Linked DNA regions of Sus scrofa. The protein of the gene in region 2 interacts with the protein of the main gene of each other region in a biochemical or structural test. Links are inferred from orthologs where the notes say so. Each region holds a gene or a part of one and is shown on either strand. Other genes may lie near its edges. The genes, in order: NSMCE1 and MAGEF1.

Region 1 (10,219 bases), on a different chromosome or scaffold from region 2:
CTTTTGCCAACCCAGCCAGCGGGCATCCACGCCGGCCCCTGGCAGAGCCTTGAGCAGGGAAACTTGGGAAAGACCTGAAAGGAAACCGAGGGGGGGACCCCAGACCCCTCATCATCTCAGCGCCGTACGTGCACCTCCTGGCATCACGGACCTTGTGCAGCAGACCCACACGCGAGGTCTGCCCCAGCCCTCCTACGGCAGGACAGAGGCCAGGAAAGGGAGGCAGTGACCCCTGGGGGCGAACTCCCAGCCCAGACCCAGGTGCCCCCTCCCTCCTCTTCTCCCCCGACCCCCAGCCCCCAGGAGCAGCACTGCAGGTGCCTCCCAGCACTCCTGCCTGGAGCCTCCGCAGGGGTGGTCTCTAATTACCTCTAGCCACGCCACTTTCGGGACCACGCTAGGGCGGGTCCAGGGAGGCCCCAGGCTGCATCGTGGTGGCGTGGGTGGCAGGGCCTCTCGGTTCCCACATCCAAACAGTCCCCAGGCCGTGTAACCCCCAAACCCTGAGAAAGCCAGGAAATACAGAAACCCTTGACTGCAGTGGCTGACCCCATGGCCACCTCACAGGGAAGAGGTAGGCTGAGAGCCACCCAGAGGCAGACAGGTGTCACAGGGGTCCGTGGAAGTTTATCCGTTGAAGTCAATGAATGGCATCCAAGCTCCAAGGGGCCACACCTTCTGAGGGTTCCCCGGTCCTGGGGCCTCCCCCCACTGACCCTGCCCAGCCCACACTCAGCTGAGCCGGGGCAGAGTCCTGTCCAGGGACTGGTGAGTCTCCCATTGTGGCCAATAAAGTCTGCACAGCACAGCTCCTGGGGAAAGTCTCATTCTGAGAGGCCGTGGTCCCTCTGATCAAGGTACTGCCCCAGGAAGGCAGGTCAGGGGACCGGCCAGCAGCCACCCCAAAGTCCCTCAGCTGTTCCTCCAGAGGGCCACAGGACTCACGGCAACCCCCAGGCTGACCATTCAGAGAGCACTCCGCCCTCACGAAGGAAACACCCGAAGCCGTCACTGTCCTCATCCTCCAGACAGGAAACGGCCCAGAGACCAGAAGCCACTGCCACGGGCAGCAGCAAAGCCAGAGCACCTGGGGGCCTGCCCACCGCATCCTCTGCTGCACCGGGCCTGTTCCTTCGTCCGCGAAAGGCCCGAGGGCTCAGCCAGCCAGGGGGCTCCCCTGAGGCCTGTGGGGCTGTGGGGGCCAGGGCTCAGCTCACAGAGCCTCCAGGCCACCGTCTCCCCCAAGGTCAGGGCCGCCCCTGGAGAAGGCGGCCCCAGCATCTCCATGTCACTGAGGAAGAAGCAGAGATGACAGGAGGCTGGGCCCGAGGGCAAGCCCAGCAGCCCCCAGAAGCACATTCTTTCCTTCCCTGGTCCCCTCTCTGGGCAGCAAAGGACAGCCTCCAGCCCTGCGCGGTGACGTGACAGCATCGTGCTGGATATGCACGACCGCCTGCAGGCCCCAAGCAGGGCACAGGGGGTGAGCTCGGTGGGCGGGGGGAGGATGACACGATGACACGTGTTCTCAGCAACGTGATCCCCCATCCAAACACCGCTTCTTCCCAATCTACAAGGATTTCCGGTGTCACTGCCTCGGTATGTTTTAGATACATTGCGTTCCTCTGGGATTCCATCCTCCCGCCCCGTTCAGGAAGCAGTTACCAGGGCCTCAGGAGCACTGAGGTGCAGCCACGAGGAGGGCGCAGGCCTGGCCCTCAGGGAGCTTGCCCGAGGACAGAGCGTGGGGTTGTGACCCGAGCTGCCCCAGAACGTTCCGTGTTGCCAAATCCACCCCAGAGAGGAAGGAAAACTGTGACAAAGCAATTGACAGGGACCTGCAGTCACCCGAGCTGGGGGCTGAGCATGGCCCTGCCACTTGCCGGCTGTGGGACTTCACCCAGATCATGGGGCTGCCGTGGTTCGGCCACGGAACAGAGCTAAGGGGCTCCGTGTCGTCACAGGGCGGCCGGGAGGACCTGAGGTGCAGACGTGCCCAGAGATGCTGGCACACCCCCCACCTGCCACCCCTGACCTGGCCGCTGTGGCCTCGCCAGACCTTTCCTCCCATCAGCAAAGTCCCTCAGGAACTGACTATTTCTGGTCAGGCTGCCGGGGTCCCCTCCACCAAGAGATCGACCACTCAGAGCACTGCTGTCACCACACCAGAGGGGACCTCTCCCCAGAAGGGAAGTGAAGCATGGCGTTACCACAGCAGCAGCCTCCAGCCTCGGGCCTGACCGCTGAGTGAGGAAGTCGAGGGCCCAGCTGAGCACGTCCCGCCCAGATGGGCAGCGGAGGGGCAGGGCTGTGGGACCCAGGGCGGCGCTAAGCACGTCCGGCTTGGGTTTCTTGGAAACGGGGGTGCGTTTGTGGAAAAAGAGCGGAGACATCTGACTGCTCCAGCTGACAGAACTAGACGCAGGGCGTCTAGAAGCTTGAACCTTTCCCGGCTCCCTCCAGCTCCTCGCCTCAAGGGCCGCCATCTAAGTGCAAGAACCCAAGAGCACGGGTCCAGAAGAGTGTGATGCTGCCATTGAGAACCGTGCCGTCACAGCGATTCCTGAGGGGCCAGCAGCAGGCACCTGACGCACCTGGAGTGGATGCCACCACTCCCCTCAGTAGACATGAGGACACGGGGGACACCCGCACCGGGATTTGGGCCCAGGGCTGGTGCTCACGCTGTACCCCTACCCAGCGTGCACACTGCCTCCAGCCCGTGGACCCGGGTCACAGGCCTGGCCACTTCCAGCTGGGGCACCCTGGACAAGGTCACAGGAGTGACCAGGAGGTTCCAGGCCTCCTCGCAGGGTCACTGTGGGCATCGAAGCAGATGAGGGGCCTGAAAGGGCCTGGCTCCACAGACACGCGTGGGATCCAGGGTGGTTGGGGAGGGAAGATGATGATTCCCTCCAAAAAGTGAGCCAAGCTGGAGAATCTGTGGGACCAGGTACCTCAATGAGCCATTTGTTTTGTACAAACTTCTGCAGCACTTGCTCGGCCTCCTTCTTCCTCATCTTCTTGCCTTTGAGCTGATCGACCAGGTTCAAGATATTTGTGGAAGACGCGAAGCCGCTTTCGGAGTCGATAATGAGTTCCAGCTAGAAGAAACAGCGGGTACCACGTTCATCTATTAAATCGGCAAAAATAACTTTGAAGCAATGATACCAACCCCGACAGGGGTGCAGTGAAATTACTCACATCTCAGGCAGAAATCTAGGAGCCTTCAGGAAAACAATAATATGCATCAAAAACCATAACACATTCAGTTTTGACTCCACAGTCACTCTTGTAACGCCATCCCAAGTGAAGAGTCTTATTTATTTTGTCTTTATTTTAGGGCTGCACCCACAGCATATGGAGAGTCCCAGGCTAGGGGTCAAGTCGGAGCTGTAGCTTCCGGCCCAGCCACAACCACAGCAATTCGGGATCCAAGCTGCATCTGCGACCTACACCACAGCTCACGGCAACGCCAGATCCTTAACCCACTGTGCCAGGCCAGGGATCGAACCCGTGTCCTCGTGGATACTAGTCAGATTCATTTCCACCGAGCCACAATGGGAACTCCCCAAATGAATGATCTTAATGCCTCCCCTTAAATCAAGAAGGGTCATTTCACCTCCCTGAAGATGGAGAAGCTGAGAGTGAAACGTGAGCAGACCACGAGGCTGGCCTAAGTGACAGGAAAGCAGAGCCGGTGGGGGGGGGCGCAGCAGGAGAGCACCCCTGGCGGCCTCAGAGGCATGGTGCCCATGGTGCCAGGCCGGGGGAGGCTGGCAGGCGGGCTGCCCTATGGCTTCTGCCCATAGCAGTGCAGAGCTGCTGGGAAGACAGGCTTTCTGCCCACACACCTGTCTGGCATCTTGGAGCCTGGTTCTCAACGCTGGCTGCTCGTCGTCCCCAGGGGAAGCTTAGAAAGGAATGACCCTATGACTCAGCCCTCGAAGCCTTGAAGCCCACAGACCTGGAGTTTTACCTCCCAGTTACTACATCGCACATCCGGACTCAGAACCCCGTCTTTAACCAGGTGCTCAGCCAGGTAAGCGACAAGGTGGCTCAGTGAACAGTGACAGGGCAGCGGCTCTCAATGTCGCCATGCAAGTGCATCACCCTGGAGGGACCTTCCCAGAATGCAGGTTCGGATTCAACAGTCTGGGTGGGGACTGGGATCCGGCCTTTCTCGAAAGCTCCCTCCAGGGTGATGCTGCAGCCAGTCCTGGACCACACGGCAGCACTAAGCAGTAACACCTGCTCACCTGCACCAAGCGCCCAGGAGGCCTGCTGCCGCTCAAACCCAGACCAGCTCTTCTTTCCTGAGCAGCCGTGGCGACCCCCCCCCCGCCCCCCAGCAATCAGCTGGCAACTGTGAATTCTGGGTGGGGTGCTTGGTGACATCCCCCTGCAGTGGGCTTTCTGAGACTTTTTTTTTTTTTTCCGCTTTTTAGGGCCGCAACCCGAAGTTCCCAGGCTAGGGTTCAAATTGGAGCTACAGCTGCTGGCCTACATCACAGCCGTAGCAATGCCAGATCTAGCCATGTCTGGGACCTACACCACAGCTCACAGCAATGCCAGATCCTTAACCTACTGAGCGAGGCCAGGGATTGAACCCACCACCTTGGTTCCTAGTTGGATTTGTTTCCACTGCGCCACGACAGGAACTCCCTGAGACCTTTCTTTTTTTTTAAAATATTTATTTCCCCAATACAATTTTTTCCCTACTGTACAGCATGGTGACCCAGTTGCACATACATGTAGCGCATTCTATTCTCGCACGTTTCCCTGAGATCTTTCTAAGATGATCGTTTCCGTCTCTGATGAAAGACACAAGTTTCCCAGAAGCAGCCTGGCCAATGGGCAATGGGAGTTAGTGTACTTACGGCCTTTCTAAACAGATCCAGCTCATTCTCTGCAAAATCTGAGGCCATTTTGGACACTGAAGTCGTGGCAAGGTTCACCTACAAAATAAGTCAGCATGCGGGTCAGGCCGTTCATTCACCAGTTGCCTCTCCCTCTGCCTCGCCAGTCACGGAGCTCCCGCGTCCAGGCGCAGCAGGCCACAGGGATGAGTATGTAACCTGTTTTATATCACAGGCTTACATCTTTAGCCCCATCAATATGCTGAATTTTCAGAGATTTTAAAACTCCCAAGGTTGTGCTGTATCTTCTAAACTCAGCTAACTTTGGGCGACTTGTCTGCGTGCTAACGGAGCTTCAAATGCATAAGGCGCTGAGAAGTCTGGCAGTAAAGAAATCTGATTTAAGGACCTAACCCAGCATTGCCATGTCATTTGACTCCATTATCTTTTCATCCAAAGAAGAGAGTTTGGGAAACTCCGGACTAGAGCCCCTTTCTGTGTGGGGCTGCTGGTAGGAGCCTGCTCTCTAGCTGGTAGGAGTCCTCTAGCCAAGGAGGGGGGCTGGTCGGCGCTTCCTCATCTATATTTCACCTCGTTCCCTAACTGGGAGGGAAAAATCTGGAACCACAAGAAGCTCCATATGGGTCTCCATCTTTAGGGCCCCCACACATTTTTCCTTCTCATAGCTTCTTTATCTCACTCCAAGTGAAAAGGCATTTTATTCCTGTAGCTCTAACGGCCCATTCATTTGGGGGTGACCTCTTGCCGAGAACCGGCAGCAAACACACTAAAACCAAATGCATGCTGCCCGGTTACAGGCAGGGGCTCCATGTGGGGCAGCGAAGCAAGCGCTGAGGTTGAGAGCTGGGCACGCGCTCCCATTACCCCAGACCCTGATGACAGCAGAGGACACTACAGATACCACAGACCACGGGGGCCGTGGGGAGCGGAGATGGGCCAGGACAGGGAGGCGGCTGGGCCCAGGGTTCTTCTCCCTCCAGGCCCTTGGTGAGGTGGGTACACTTCCCACTACAGAGGACACGGGGCTCCCGACCGCAGTCCCTCCTACTGCCACCAGGGGGCACTGTCCGCACTCACCAGCGCGTAGATGGGTCTCCCATCGTCTTCTGTGACTCCCTTCTTTATCTCAATGTACAAAGACTCCAGGACACTGTTAATGTTGTTGATGAAGTCCTCCAACTTCTCAACAGGAGCGTTGCCTGAAAACAAAGGCCAAAGAAAAGGAGGGTCGAGGGGGGCGCTCTCTCAAAAAATTGTAGCTTGACTCAATCACGCCATCCACCTGAACAGAGACGGCGAAGCCAGAAATGGGCGAAGGGAAGGCCCAGCCCCCCTGGGGAAGCGCCAAGGCCTGTGGCTTTTTTCTTCCTGAAGCAAAGACACGGAAGGAGCCGTGAAGAAAAAGGGCCGGGAAATGGTAGCTGAGCCCCACCAGCTCCACCACCACAGTTCCCTGCGGCCAGGTCACCATCCCGACTCAGCACCTCATCGCACGGCTGTGTGCTCGGAACCTGCTGTGGGCATCACCGCACGACCCCTCCCTAGACTAGAGGCTCTGTCTTCACGCACGCACCAGGGCTACCTCTAGCCTTCCTCCCTTTATTCGGCAATCAAACCTGCACTGCGCACTTACACGCCCCGGGCCTGTGTGCTGGGGGGCGGCTGCAACCATGAAGGATGACAACTGCAGGGTAAGAGCAGCAGCTCACACTGAGCACCGGCCCCAGGAAAGCCCGAATCTGAGCGCTTCTCACACAGTAATTTTTTTTTTTTGTTTTTTGGTCTTTTTGCCTTTTCTAGGGCTGCTCCCACGGCATATGTAGGTTCCCAGGCTAGGGGTCCAATCAGAGGTGTAGACACTGGCCTACACCAGAGCCACAGCAACACGGGATCCTTAACCCACTGAGCAAGGCCAGGGATCGAACCCACAACCTCAGGGTTCCTAGTCAGATTCATTAACCACTGCGCCACGATGGGAACTCCCTTACACAGTAATTTACCCATCCTGCCCACAGCCCCCCAGGCAGGCACAGGCAGCCTCCTGGTTCAGGGAAGAGGCCAAGACGCAGAGGGGGACTGAGCAGTGGGGAGCCCGCCAACACAGCCACCTGTGCTGCCCGACAACGGGACTCGAGCAAGCCAAGGGATGCGCACAAGGAAGCCCGCACCCCTCCCCAGGGCCATTGGCCCATCCGAGAGAGGACACCGACAGAGCCCGGGGAGGGGGAGGCCAAGCCAGCACTGCAGGGGGGCCGGGGTGGACGGACAGGGCCCTGGCAGGGGAAGGAAGGAAGGATGGCCGGGAGGGCCGATGAGGCTGCAGCAGGAAGCAGGAGCTGGATCGAGCAGGGCCCCGCAGGCTGGGGGAGCGTGTGGCCTTTCTCCTGTGGGCAGTGGGAGCCTTTTGAGTTGGAAGCAGAGGCGGAAGATGTCAGTCTTGTGTCTTAGAATTACCCTTCTGTACTATGACACTTTTTTAAACCAAGAGTATCTATTACTGTTTTTAGTTGTTAAAACAAGCAACGTCAAAAGATTTGTGCCTTAGAAAAATCACGCGAAGGAAAAAAAATCTTGTGTCTTAGAATTACCCTTCTGTACTATGACACTTTTTTAAACCAAGAGTATCTATTACTGTTTTTAGTTGTTAAAATAAACAACATCAAAAGATTTGTGCTTTAGAAAAATCACTTGAAGGAGAAAAAAAAACCCACAAGGGAGTTCCCGTTGTGGCTCAGAGGAAACAAATCCGTCTAGTATCCATGAGGATTCGGGTTCAATCCCTGGCCTTGCTCAGTGGGCTAAAGATTTGGCATTGCCATGAGCTGTGGTGTAGTTTGCAGATGTGGCTTGGGTCTGGCATTGCTGTGGCTGTGGTGTAGACTGGTGGCTCTAAGCTCCGATTTGACCCCTAGCCTGAGAACCTCCATATGCAGTGGGTGCGGCCCTAAAAAATAGCTTAAAAAAAAAAAAAAAAAGGCAAGAAAACAATGTAACATTTACGTTAAAACAAAATTAAAACCCAGGAAATAATACTGCAGGGGACAGGCGAGCAAGGCTACCCACCATCACTAGGAAGGGACTGGGTGAGGGGGCCAGCCCAGGGCATCTGAACTTAATCTGGTTGGCCTCTCAAGGAGAAGGGTACTTGTAAGCGCCTTGCCTACCTAAATATTATCAAAGTTTAGGAGTTCCCGCCGTGGCACAGCAGCAATGAATCCGACTAGGAACCATGAGGTTGCAGGTTTGATCCCTGGCCTGGTTCAGTGGGTTAAGGATCCGGCATTACTGTGACCTGTGGTGTAGGCTGCAGACGCAGCTTGTATTTGGCATTGCTGTGGCTGTGGTGTAGGCCAGCAGCAACAGCTCCGATTGTACCCCTTGCCTGGGAACCTCCATATGCCACGGGAGCGGCCCTAAAATGAGAGAAAGACCAAAAAAAAAATTATTAAAGTTTAAAAAAATAAAAAAGATCACACTGGTGGCAAATGGAGGTCACAGCTGTGTTATGGCAACAGCTGTGACACAGATACCGTGTCTACTGAGGAGGCCGAGAAAAGCTAATGACAAAGACCAGAACAGTAGTACTAATATGCAAATTATAGCAGGGATCTAATCTTTTATAAGTAAAGTTGCTTATGTTTTTTTTAAAAAAAGCAAATTTAAATTAAAAATGAGTAGTAGGAGTTCCCGTCGTGGCGCAGTGGTTGACGAATCCGACTAGGAACCATGAGGTTGCGGGTTCGGTCCCTGCCCTTGCTTAGTAGGTTAACGATCTGGCGTTGCCGTGAGCTGTGGTGTAGGTTGCAGACGCAGCTCGGATCCCACGTTGCAGTGGCTCTGGCATAGGCCGGTGGCTGCAGCTCCGATTCGACCCCTAGCCTGGGAACCTCCATATGCCTCGGGAGCGGCCCAAAGAAATAGCAAAAAAGACAAAAAAAAAAAAAAAAAAAAAAGAGTAGTAATAAACAGATGGTACACAGATGTGGCAAAAATCCCAACAGTGGGAGTTCCTGTCATGGCGCAGCGGAAATGAATCCGACTAGGAACCATGAGGTTGCGGGTTCAATCCCTGGCCTCCCTCCTTGGGTTGAGGATCTGGCGTTGCCATGAGCTGTGGTGTAGGTCGCAGGCATGGCTGCGGCTGTGGTGTAGGCTGGCAGCAACAGCTCCAATTAGACAGACCCCCTAGCCTGGGAACCTCCACATGCTGCAGGTGCAGCCTAAAAAGACAAAAAAAAAAAAAAAAAAAAATCCTAACAGTAACATGATGATAAAATCTAGCCACATCTGCTGAAAAACTGATCAGAGGAGTGAGAGAGGCTCTCCAAGAGCGCCCCCCAATGACCTCCCCCACCTCTGCCTCCCAGTTAGAAAGCAAGCCCAGAAGGTGTCCCTCCCGCCCTTGCACGAAGGGCTGTCAGGCTTCCTTCCTCCCCAGCCTGTCCAGGTCTGTGCCCTGAGCTTGCTGGAAACCCCTTTCCACCTGCCCCACACCCAATGAGAGGCTGGGAAACGCGGCCGCGGGGGCCCTCGGGCAGCGAAGAACCACCCCGCCTGTGACACAGGGGCAAGTCCCACGTCCCTCTGAAAGCGAGAATTCACATTTTCCACTGAAAAGGCCTCTCTCCTGGGTGTCGTTCAGAAAAATGTACCCCGTGGGCAGATCAAACGCCTTCTACCACGTCGGACTTTCCAGAAACTGGGTCCGCGCGGAGATGAGCTAATAGCCGCCCTGCGCTTCCCCCCTTTCCCACCTCTGGTTTGCTGTCCAGCCTCCCTTTTCAGAAACGTGAATGTTTTCAAGGTCTTTTCATCTTATAAAAAAAAAACCCCACCAAACTCCACTTCCTACTACGGTCCTCACTGCAGCCACCTGCCTCAGGGGCTCACTTCCCTCCCGCGCACGAGCGTCCCTGGCACAGCCCATCCGCTGCCAGCCTGGGGGTGTTGGCCCTGCGCTGCATCACTGCCTGGGAAAAAGCTCCTCTCGTGCCCAGCAACAACCCCCCACTTGATTTCTTAGGGGCAACAGAGGTGGCGTGGGCCACGGGCCAGCAGCAGGGCTGCCCAGCTCGGCCTGATTCTCTGGGCAACCCCTTTCTCCCTTCCTCTCATCCCCGCAGGGGCCCCCGCCGCCTGGCGTCCAACCTCACCTGCGTCTAGAAAACTCCCCTCCAACTCTACCGCCTGCCCAGCTCCAACCGGCAGGGCTCCTGAGCCCCTGGCATCCTGGACACGCACCTCTCCTGGGCAGGCCTGCCCTCACCTCACTGACCCCGCCACCCCCTCGCACCACAGTCCCCGAGCACTTCTGTCCCCATCACACTTGGTCCAGGAACCAAATT
Region 2 (10,088 bases):
TCTCTGCTGTAATCTCACCACCAGGATGCATGCGTGGTATGGGTGGAAGATGCTCTATAAGTATTTGTTGAATGAGTGAATACAGTTTATAACAGCAATAGTTATCACGTACCACATCCTGTACTGGGTGCTGAGTGATTCCTGCATTCAGTCTTCACAGTGTTTTGAAGTAGGTAGCATTGGAGTTCCCATTGTGGCTCAGCAGTAATGAACCCGACTAGTATCCATGAGGATGTAGGTTCGATCCCTGGCCTCACTCAGTAGGTTAAGGATCTGGCATTGCCGTGAGCTGTGGTGTAGGTTGCAGACAGGGCTTGGATCCCGTGTTGCTGTGGCTGTGGTGTAGGCTGGCAGCTGAGGCTCTGATTCAACCCCTAGCCTGGGAACTTCCAAATGCCATGGGTGCAGCCCGAAAAAGACAAAAACGAAAACAAAACAAACAAAAAAATGAAGTAAATGGTATTATCTGTTTTAAAGATGAGGAAACCTTAGAGAGGTTAGGTAACTCAGCAGAAGCCACACACTATCACGTGGCAGAGCAGGTTGGAATGCAAATCTGTGTGCTCCAAGACTGGGACCTTTCCATTGAAGGAGCCTCCTCTGGCCTCACGGGTGTCCCTCACTATGCTGATATCCAGCTGCATCTCAGGCACTGATTCCCCCGCCACAAGAACCACAGCACTGCTGCCCAGAGCTAGCATCCCTCCAGATGGACTCCTCTCCTAATTCAGGTCCCTTCTGGTGACAAAAGGCCCAAACCTGCAATCAGAGAAGCCAGCTGGCTCCTCCCCCACCTCACTGCCTACTCTCTGGTTCTAGCCTGAGTGTTCTAGGTTATGGTATAAATGAGAAAGCCCAGAGGTTTTCTTTCCTTCTCCTTCAGCCCCATTTTCCCAAAGGAAGGTTGGCTCCTCCCTGAGAACCTTCTACTAACCAGCAGAGTGGGATAACAGCAAGAACCCAGGAGATTTATGTTCAAGTTCTAGACCTGCGGCTCACTAGCTATGTTATGACCTTGGGCAAGTCATTTAACATGTGTACTGACAGAATGGAAGGAATTATTTTTTCCTTGTGGTTTGCCTACAGTATTGTTTCATTTGTTTGTTTTTGTCTTTTGTCTTTTTAGGGCTGTACCTGCAACACATGGAGGTTCCCAGGCTAGGGTTCTAATCAGAGCTGCTGCTGCTGGCCTACGCCAGAGCCACAGCAATGCCAGATCCGAGCCGTGTCTGTGACCTACACCACAGCTCATGGCAATGCCAGATCCTTAACCCACTGAGCAAGGCCAGGGATCGAACCCGCAACCTCATGGTTCCTAGTCAGATTCGTTTCCACTGCACCACAATGGGAACTCCTGCCTACAGTATTGTTAATGTTGGCAAACGTAGCACCTGCCTCATGGGGCTATTGTGTAGACACATGGGACGATTTGGTTATCATACTTAGTACCATGCCTGTCACATAAGGCTTAATAATTGTTGGCTGCTATTGTTATCAGTCATGACTAACCTGGGAACTGGGCAGAGTCAGCAATCAGCTGGTAGGATGGGTTGTGGGTATGGACTCTAGCTAACCACTAACTCCCATCACCCACTAAGCTTTCCTAGAGCTTCAGTCCTCAGAGTTTGGAATGCCTTGTTCAAGGTCACATAGTCATGACTTTTAAAAGGCCTTGATTGGGATACTTTCTGGAATACCTAACCTCTTTAGTTAGTATACTATAGTTCTGCTGGGAGGTAATTGTTGCCATCTCTGCTGGGCTGCAAAATTTGAGGAATAATTTGCACTAGCATCAATTGCCACCACGACCAAGGCATGAAGCCCAATTATCTCAAGTGGAAACTGTGATTGAGCCTGTGAATTGAGGCCTGATTTGCAGGGGCTGCAGGCAAATGAGCTGCCACCTTTGGAGCATCATGTACCTGCTAGTTGTTGGGGCTGTAATCACCCTGAGCCCATTGCCAAACACCCATTCTCCACATTTCAGTGGGTCGAAAGTCCCGACTCCTGGATGTCAAGATCCCTACAGAGTCTGTGACTGAACTAAGACCTTCTCATTGTCTAAGGCATGATTTGTAGTTTTCAAGGGAATTTCGTTCACTGGCTTTGCTTTCTAGTTGTGGTATAATAAGCATGATTTGGAAAAATCCATCTGCCCCAACAACATCTCTCTGCTCTCCCACCCACACGGTATTTCACCCAGGAAGATCTCATTATGTTTATGCCTGAAGGGGAAAGCAGCCAGCGATCCAGGCCTTCCCTCTCCCTTATGTGAATGACCATAAGCAGCAGGAGGATGCATCTCTTGTCCTTAACATGGCCAAGGTCTGCTCTACACACAGGCCCAGAGGCCACACTTTAAATATTTCTGAGAGGAGTTCCTGTCGTGTCTCAGTGGTTAACGAACCTGACCAATATTAATGAGGACGCGGGTTTGATCCCTGGCCTTGCTCAGTGGGTTAAGGATCCGGTGTTGTCATGAGCTGTGGTGTAGGTCGCAGACTCGGCTCAGATCCTGCATTGCTGGGCTGTGGTGCAGGCCAGCAGCTACAGCTCCGATTGCACCCCTACCCTGGGAACCTCCATATGCCTTGGGTGCAGCCCTCAAAAGACAACTTCTGAGAAGTTGATGATGACATCTGTGACATGGGAGGTCTTTCATCCTGAGGCAAGGGTCTGAGTTCTGCCAGCCCTTTGTAACATCTGGAAATAATGCTGGGAATCCTATTTGCAGGTCCACAAATGTTATTTGATTGTTTCATGGCATGAAAGACTAAGTCAAGGCTTAGCGGAGAGAGCAGACTAATGAAGACTGAGGAAACATGGCCTAAAAGGCAAAACATGCTGACTTTGAGCAAAATTACACATTTTACATGTAGTCAGCATTCTGAGAACAGTGAGGGTAAGCAGAGCCAGGACCGATGTTCACAGATAATTTTCCAACTTTATTTTAGCCTCCTTTCTACCCTCCTACAGGCCAATGTCTTGTCACAATTACCTTGGTTACACACCCTTATTTGTATCTCCAGAGAGACAGCCATGTTTAGAAGAAAGAACATGAGTCCCCAAGTCTGAAAGGATTCCCAAGAAGAAGGAAATGTAAAATAGTGAAAAGTGTGGGGTTTTGACTCAGATTTCAGTTCCAATCCTTTTGTCACACACTATCTATGAGAACTTTATGGCTTCTCTGAGTTTGTTTGCATAGTTCAAAATGGAACAGATAATATCTATCCTGTTAGATTGTTGTAAAAGTCATTAAAACATATGTTAAGACATGAAGGAGCTGGCTCACATTAGGTATTGGATAAATGGCAAGTATTAATATCTATATAATGGAGGTATTTTGTAATACCCTCTTTCAATATGGTTATGAAAAGTAGGGCCCATAGCAGATGTTGAAAAATGGTAGTTGTTAGTCCTGGCTTGCCACAAACTACATGTGTGACCTTCGGCAAAGTCACCTCTGCTGCCAGTGAAATGAGGAGTATTTCTACTCTGCTCCCTCCCATAAGGACTGCAGTGACAACTGGAGATAATTATACATGCCTCACTTGATTTTTGGAATGGTGATCAATAAAATCACATACAATATATTGGAAGTCAGACACAGGGAGCAATGGACTAGAATGAAACACACTGGGAGACAAGGGACTTGGGTTCCAGGCTTGGTGCTTCTTTTGCCAAGTGATCAGAGGCAAATCACCAAGTAATCAGACCCTTGGGTGCACACACTGCTGAGCTCTCAGCAGCTGTGGGAAAATACAAATGTGAGAAATTAATGCTATTGCTCCTTGAGGGTAAAGCCAGTTTTCCCATTTTAATCTCTGGAATCCAGTAGTCTTTGGCATATAGTGGGCACTCAGTATTTTTGTTTAATGAATCATAAGCTGCCCAGAAGTCATATTTTTAATCACTAGTAAACTTTTTTTACCCGTAAGCTCATGACTCTTGGTTTCAGTATGATTTGCTGGATCCCTGGGTCTGTGTCCCAAAGTATCTGTATTCCATGCTAACCTTAACATACTCAGAAGTGTTATTTACACAGAACTGAAAGCAGGAAAAAAAAAAAAAAACAGAAAAACAAAAAACCAAACAGCAGTAAAGAGAAGTGGCCCTTCTGAATATGGTGTCTGTAGGGGGACAGTTTCACAGTCTTCCCTACATCAACCTCTGGTTTGGTTACCACTTCCTCTAGGTTCCTTACTTTGTGAACCCAGAATTACAGGACTTATCCCAGAGTGAAGGTGGAGGCACTGCAGAGGCTTAGGCTGCTTTTGTAAATGATTCTTCGTGGGTAGATAAGGATGTGAAAGATGCCTTGCAGTTCTCCTCCAGATGGGAGATGGCAGGTGGTGAGTAGCAAGTAGAAAGATGGATGAGGGTGCTGGGCTTCCTGGTGCCAAAGGAGAAATCTTGAAGTAGAAGTTCTTGATAGTGGGGAACCCTATAGTGGGTGTACCCTCCACCCATATGACATACTATTCCAGAATTGTTATAATATTTGGTCTCTGAGGGTGCTGGTAGAAGAGGGAAGCCTGTAGAGGTTGCGATAAGAGAGATAGTGAAGACCAAAATGCTAGTTGTCACCATCATTATTTGCACACTGTAATAAATTGCCTTGGGCCAAGAGCACTGACAAGTAAGGTGTTTTCCAGATCTGCCATGTATCAAGTCTTCCCATGTTACTGATCAGCATCTATGATCTTAACCGCTTCCCACCCCCTAACTTCTTCTTTTCCTTCCCCTCTTCTCCACCCTTCCCACTGCTACACCAAAGTCCAACTAAAGGGAACCTCAGGCAAGCCTCAACCAATCCCCCAGCTGGGTTGGGTGGCTTTCTGTAGTCTTCAACTCACTGCACTGTAATTTCCTGTTTATTTATTTACTGTCCAGTTCTGAAATGTAGGACCTTTATCTTTTTCAGCACTCTATCCTCAAATACCCCCAACAGTGCATTACACAAAAGACACTTAACAAACATATATTAAGTATACCAGGTTATACTTCTAATTTATTGCATTCCCCCCCCCAGATACTATAATAACTAAGCAAATAGAGTTACATGTCAGTCTTTTTTCTTTATACAATACACAAAAAAGTGTTGCGAAGCTAGATACTAATCAGTTATTTTTTTTCTGGTACCAGATCATCATACTGCTGAGTTCCTTTAAACTACCTAAGTACAGCATTCACTGTTGCATCATTTGTTCAAGATCACAGAATAAAATGTTTTTCAATTCATTTTACAAAACCAGCAAAACTTTACAACAAAATCCTACAGGAAAAAGTATACGAATCTCATTTACAAACATCAATTTAACAGTATATTAAATGTAACAAAACTTAGCAAGATACAAAACCTAAATCCTAGTTACATAAATACAACCGCTACAGAAAACACGACCCTCCCCCCACCTATTCTACTTAGACTCAGTAGTTTTTGTGCCCAACTCCACCCACCCCCTCAGCCCCCCCCCCTCCGGCTGGCCACTCTTCCAATAGCCCTCACCAGCGGTGATTGCCGGCCCTAGCATTGGCTCTGGCCCTAGCCCTAGGCCTAATACTGGCCTCAGCTCTGGCTCTGTCAGCCTCGTCTGCCAGGGCCTCACGGTACAGCACTGGCCAGTGTTGGGGTTCTTTCTTATGGAGCTTGGCCACGAACCCCAGGACTTTCATCTTGCTGGTTTCCAGGTTGCTTCGGGGACCCCAAGAGAATTCACATTCCGGTGGGTTGGTGTGAGGCACACGCCTGTAATTGAGGTATCTCAGCTGCACGAAATCTTCCATAATAAGCCTCTTCGGGTACCCAAAGAGGAAGTGATATTTTGAGGGACGCACCCCCAACCGACGCAGCATCTCCCAGACCTGTGCCTCCCTGGCGCTATTACCTTTCATGTAGATAAGGCCCAAGATCATCATTAAGAGACCCAGTCTGGGGCCATCTCCTCCCAGATCCTCCTCCTTATCCTCAGGAGGTTTTAGTTTGTTCATCAGGATGTAAGTGTGGTGCTTGCGGTCAAGCTGTTTCAGCTCGAAACCAAAGACATACCGCAGATGCTCTGCGGCCCTTGCGATGATCTCGGGGAACAGATCCTTCAAGTCTCCGATAACATACTTCACCATCTCCGAGCGAGTGATGGGACTCTTCTTCTTGTCCTTCACCAGCAGAAACTGCACCAACTCGGCCACCGTCCGATCCAGACGGCGGCAAGCCCGGCGCCGGGCCAAAGTTTTGGCTGCCAAGGCCCTCGCACCTTTCGGGGTGAGGGCGGGCTCCGCAGCCCCTTCCTCCTTTACTGCGTCAAGGTCCTCCTCTGGGCTCTCTTGCAGGAGGGGGCTCGGGGCCTCCTCCTGCGAGACGGTCAGGGCCTGGGTCTCACCGTCATGGCTGCCATCCATCTCCCCCTCGACTTGAGGGACGGGGAGAACCCCGCTCTCGGGTTTCTGCAACATGTTTTTGCGCAGGCAGGTGCAAAGCGCGTACTCGGGCCGAGGGATGTGCAAGCCGCTGCGCAAACCCTGGCGGAAGGGTTGGACAGCGGCTGGGGCGCCTGGAGTAGGACTAGGAGAGATGACACAGGGGTTTCTGTGGCTGCTAGGCGGTACCGCACACGGCTCGGGACGGTCGCCGCAACGCCGCCGGCGCTCAAGACCTGCGCCGCCGCCGCCGCGCAGCCTCAGTGCGCGCCCGCCGCTGGATCGCCGTAACACTTCCGGCCAACTCAGCCAAGATGGCGGCCCGGAGGCCGGCGAAGCCCCTCCTTTTCCGGCTACCGCTGGGTTGGAGGTGCGCACCGGCTTTCCGGGATGCTTGGGCTGTGGAAGAGTGTAGTTTGCGCAGCTTTTTAAGACTGCAAAGCTGGAGGAGGATAACCAGGAATTTCTCAAGGTTTCAGTGTGCAAGAATGGAGTAGGATGGAGTTCTAGCCACGTCCTTTCAGCAGGCGCTTGATTCTAAGTGTGTGTACCTAAGATTTTGAGTAATTTACTGTGGTTCAAATGCGGAATGTAAGGAGATGAAGGCTGGGAGATAAGGCTGTGCGGGACGGTGCAGGGCCTTGAACAGGATGCTAGGCAGATTGAAATCTTTTCTGAGGACGATGGGAATATGCAACAGGAAGATTAAACAAAGGAGTGCCCAGACCAGATCTGTTATCTTTCCAGTCTCTCTGGGTGGCAGTGTAGAGAATGGATTGGAGTAGGGCTGACCAAAAACTGGGAATCCAGCTTGAAGTATTGGAGTATTATTTCATAGTGCAGAATAGGAACTAAGACGTGGCCTATCTTGTTCATTGGTGTATCAGTGCCTGGCACATAGAGGCACTCCATAAATATCGTAGAATGGATGACGAGGGAGTAAGGATAGTAGATTCTACAGGGGTGAAAGGAAGATGATAAACGATATATTGAAGTATAGCTGGCAGAAATAGTGACAGATTGGAGGAAAGGGGAGGTTTTTTAAAAAATGTAATCAAACTTAACTACTCCCATTACTTTTTCTTTTTGCCTACTCTACTCTGAGCTTTCTCCTAGTGTCTCTCCTCCCTCTCTCCCTCCCTCTCCAACTCCTCCTCTCCCTTTTCTCTCATTTCCTCCCTTCCCCCTCCCTTTTCCCTCCTTTCATCCCAGTCTCCCCTCTCCCTTCCTCCTCCCTCCTTCCCCTTCTCCTCCTCCTTTCCCTTCCCCTGCTTCTCTTCTCACCCTTCCCCTCATTTCTAGGATCAGCTTAAATTTCTCCTTTCCAAAGCCTTCCTTAGTCTCTGTGCATGGAAGTTATTTACTCCTATATCTGAATCACCGTAGAAATTTGTATTTGTTTAACACCCACTCATATACACCTTATTGTGCTCCAGGCTCTGTTCTAACCATCGTTCCAATATTAATTTATTTAATTCTCATTAAAGTAAGTACTCTTAGCACTATCCTCGTTTTATAGATATGTCTGTCCTATGAAATTTGCTATTTACTAGCTATGTAGTCTTGGACGAATTAACCTAAACTTCCTGTCCCTCAGTTGCCTTGTCAGTAAAATGGGTATAATGCAAGACAACATTGTAGAGATTATGTGAAGTAATGCATATAAACTAACACAATGTTTGGCATATAGTGTTCAATAACTGTTAGCTATTTTTTTGCATATTTGTAATGTGCTGTTACTGTGCTCATTTTTTACATGTATTAACTCATCTACTTCTCATAACAGCCCTGCTAGATAAGTGGTATTATTATCCCCCTTTTACAAGTGAAATAACACACAAAGAGGTTAGGTAATTTCCCCAACAGCACATGACTGAACCACTGTTTGCAATCATGACTCCAGAGACCATGCTCCTAACCACTGTATTAATAGATGTTTATTATTATTTCTATTGGTCTTACTCTGCTTCATATTGTAGTTATTTTTGTGCTTATCTTATTACCCCCCCAAACCAAACCTCCTAAAAGGTAGGGCTATGTCCTTAAGTCTTTCGAAGATCCCCTCAGTGTTGGCACTCAGGATATAATTGTCATTGAGTAAACAATGGAAAGCTTTACTTTTTTCCCATAGGAAATACTGTTTAAGTAAGTATCTGACAGGCTTTTCTAGATGTAATTATGAACTTTTCATTTTTAAAAACTTCTGAAAATATATACCCATTTATACTTTATTACTTACAAAAACTGAAAGTGTGTGAATGAAGCAGGAGGATGTTTATTATAGTCTAGCTTGAGGCTATTATTAGTTTCTATTATGCCAAACATTTTATGTACAACATAATTTAGTCTTTGCAAATCCCCATTAGGAAGGTATTATTATCCTCCTTTTACAAATGGGAAAACAGTCAGAGAGGTTAAATCACCTATCACCAACCACCCATCTGTTAAGTGCTAGACCGGAAAGGAGGATCCAGATCTGTCTAGTCTGAAGATTGTCCTCATGACCACCACGCTGGATGCCTGGTTATCAGTTTCCCCTGAAGGTAGAACCACTTCTGCCTAAAAGGGCATTGCTGGAGATAAACTAGGTTACTTACATAGCTTTCTCACTTCAAGCATTGGCAAGGAGATATGGAGGAGATAGAACGTGGAGAGGAGCATGCAGGAGATACATTGAATGGAAGGAATTTTTTGAGGGGCAAGTTAGCAGTATATGATTGGATTTTGAAAACTGAATGAATAATTTGTTATGCTATTCATCTGAAAAAAAAAAAAGGAACAAATTACTGATACAACATGGATGAGTCTGGCTGACATTATGTTGAGTGAAAGAAGAAAGATACAAAAGATTATATACAATATGATTCCAGTTAATCTGATGTCTAAGACAGAGCTAATTGTTGGTGACAGAAATGAGAACAATGGAGGCCTGGAGTGGGGTTGACTGGAAAGGGATATGCGTGAACTTTCTGGGGGTGATGGAAATGTTCTCTGAAAAGTTATAAAAAAGTTTTAAAATTGAGCCATAATTGACAGATAACATTAGGTTCAGGGGTACAATGTAATGATTCAGTATTCATATATATTGTGAAATGATCACCACAATAAGTCTAGTGAACATCCTTCACCATAGTTACAAGATCTTTTTTCTTGTGATGAGAACTTTTAAGATCTATTCTCTCTGCCACTTTCAAATATGCAATACAGGAGTTCCCGCCGTGGTGCAGCGGAAATGAATCTGACTAGGAACCGTGAGGTTTCAGGTTTGATCCCTGGCCTCGCTTAGTGGGTTAGGAATCCAGCATTGCCATGAACTGTGGTGTAGGTCGCAGACACGGCTTGGACCTGGCACTGCTGTAGGCTGGAGTAGGCTGGCGGCTGCAGCTCTGATTGGACCCCTGACCTGGGAACCTCCAGATGCCATGGGTGTGGCCCTAAAAAAGGACAAAACAAACAAACAAATACATAATACAGTATTACTAACCATAGTCACCGTGTAAAAAAGTTTTTAAAAAATTAAATGAATGGGTCTTTAGGTATAGGAGGTGATGAGGGGTATGTGCCTTGCCACTTACCAACCCCTAGATCCTACAGTGTTTTGTTCTGGAAGGGCCCTAGACAGTCATTTTCCAGTTTTGATTGTGCCGACCTCATACTGGGCAGGCAGATTT

What was found.
Region 1: the proteins of MAGEF1 (region 2) and NSMCE1 form a complex in vitro, tested with the Homo sapiens proteins (2 studies listed by BioGRID). The link is inferred for Sus scrofa from reciprocal best matches to the Homo sapiens genes MAGEF1 and NSMCE1.

What each region holds. Positions count from the first base shown.
Region 1 is NC_010445.4:19,637,794-19,648,012, reverse strand, and holds part of NSMCE1 (non-structural maintenance of chromosomes element 1 homolog), read right to left. Parts: intron 6,074-10,219; coding exon 5,952-6,073; intron 4,953-5,951; coding exon 4,875-4,952; intron 3,099-4,874; coding exon 2,952-3,098; intron 1-2,951. UniProt on the Homo sapiens protein: RING-type zinc finger-containing E3 ubiquitin ligase that assembles with melanoma antigen protein (MAGE) to catalyze the direct transfer of ubiquitin from E2 ubiquitin-conjugating enzyme to a specific substrate.
Region 2 is NC_010455.5:122,596,000-122,606,087, forward strand, and holds MAGEF1 (melanoma-associated antigen F1), read right to left. Parts: upstream 6,702-10,088; 5' UTR 6,454-6,701; coding exon 5,506-6,453; 3' UTR 4,985-5,505; downstream 1-4,984. UniProt on the Homo sapiens protein: Enhances ubiquitin ligase activity of RING-type zinc finger-containing E3 ubiquitin ligases. Proposed to act through recruitment and/or stabilization of the E2 ubiquitin-conjugating enzyme at the E3:substrate complex.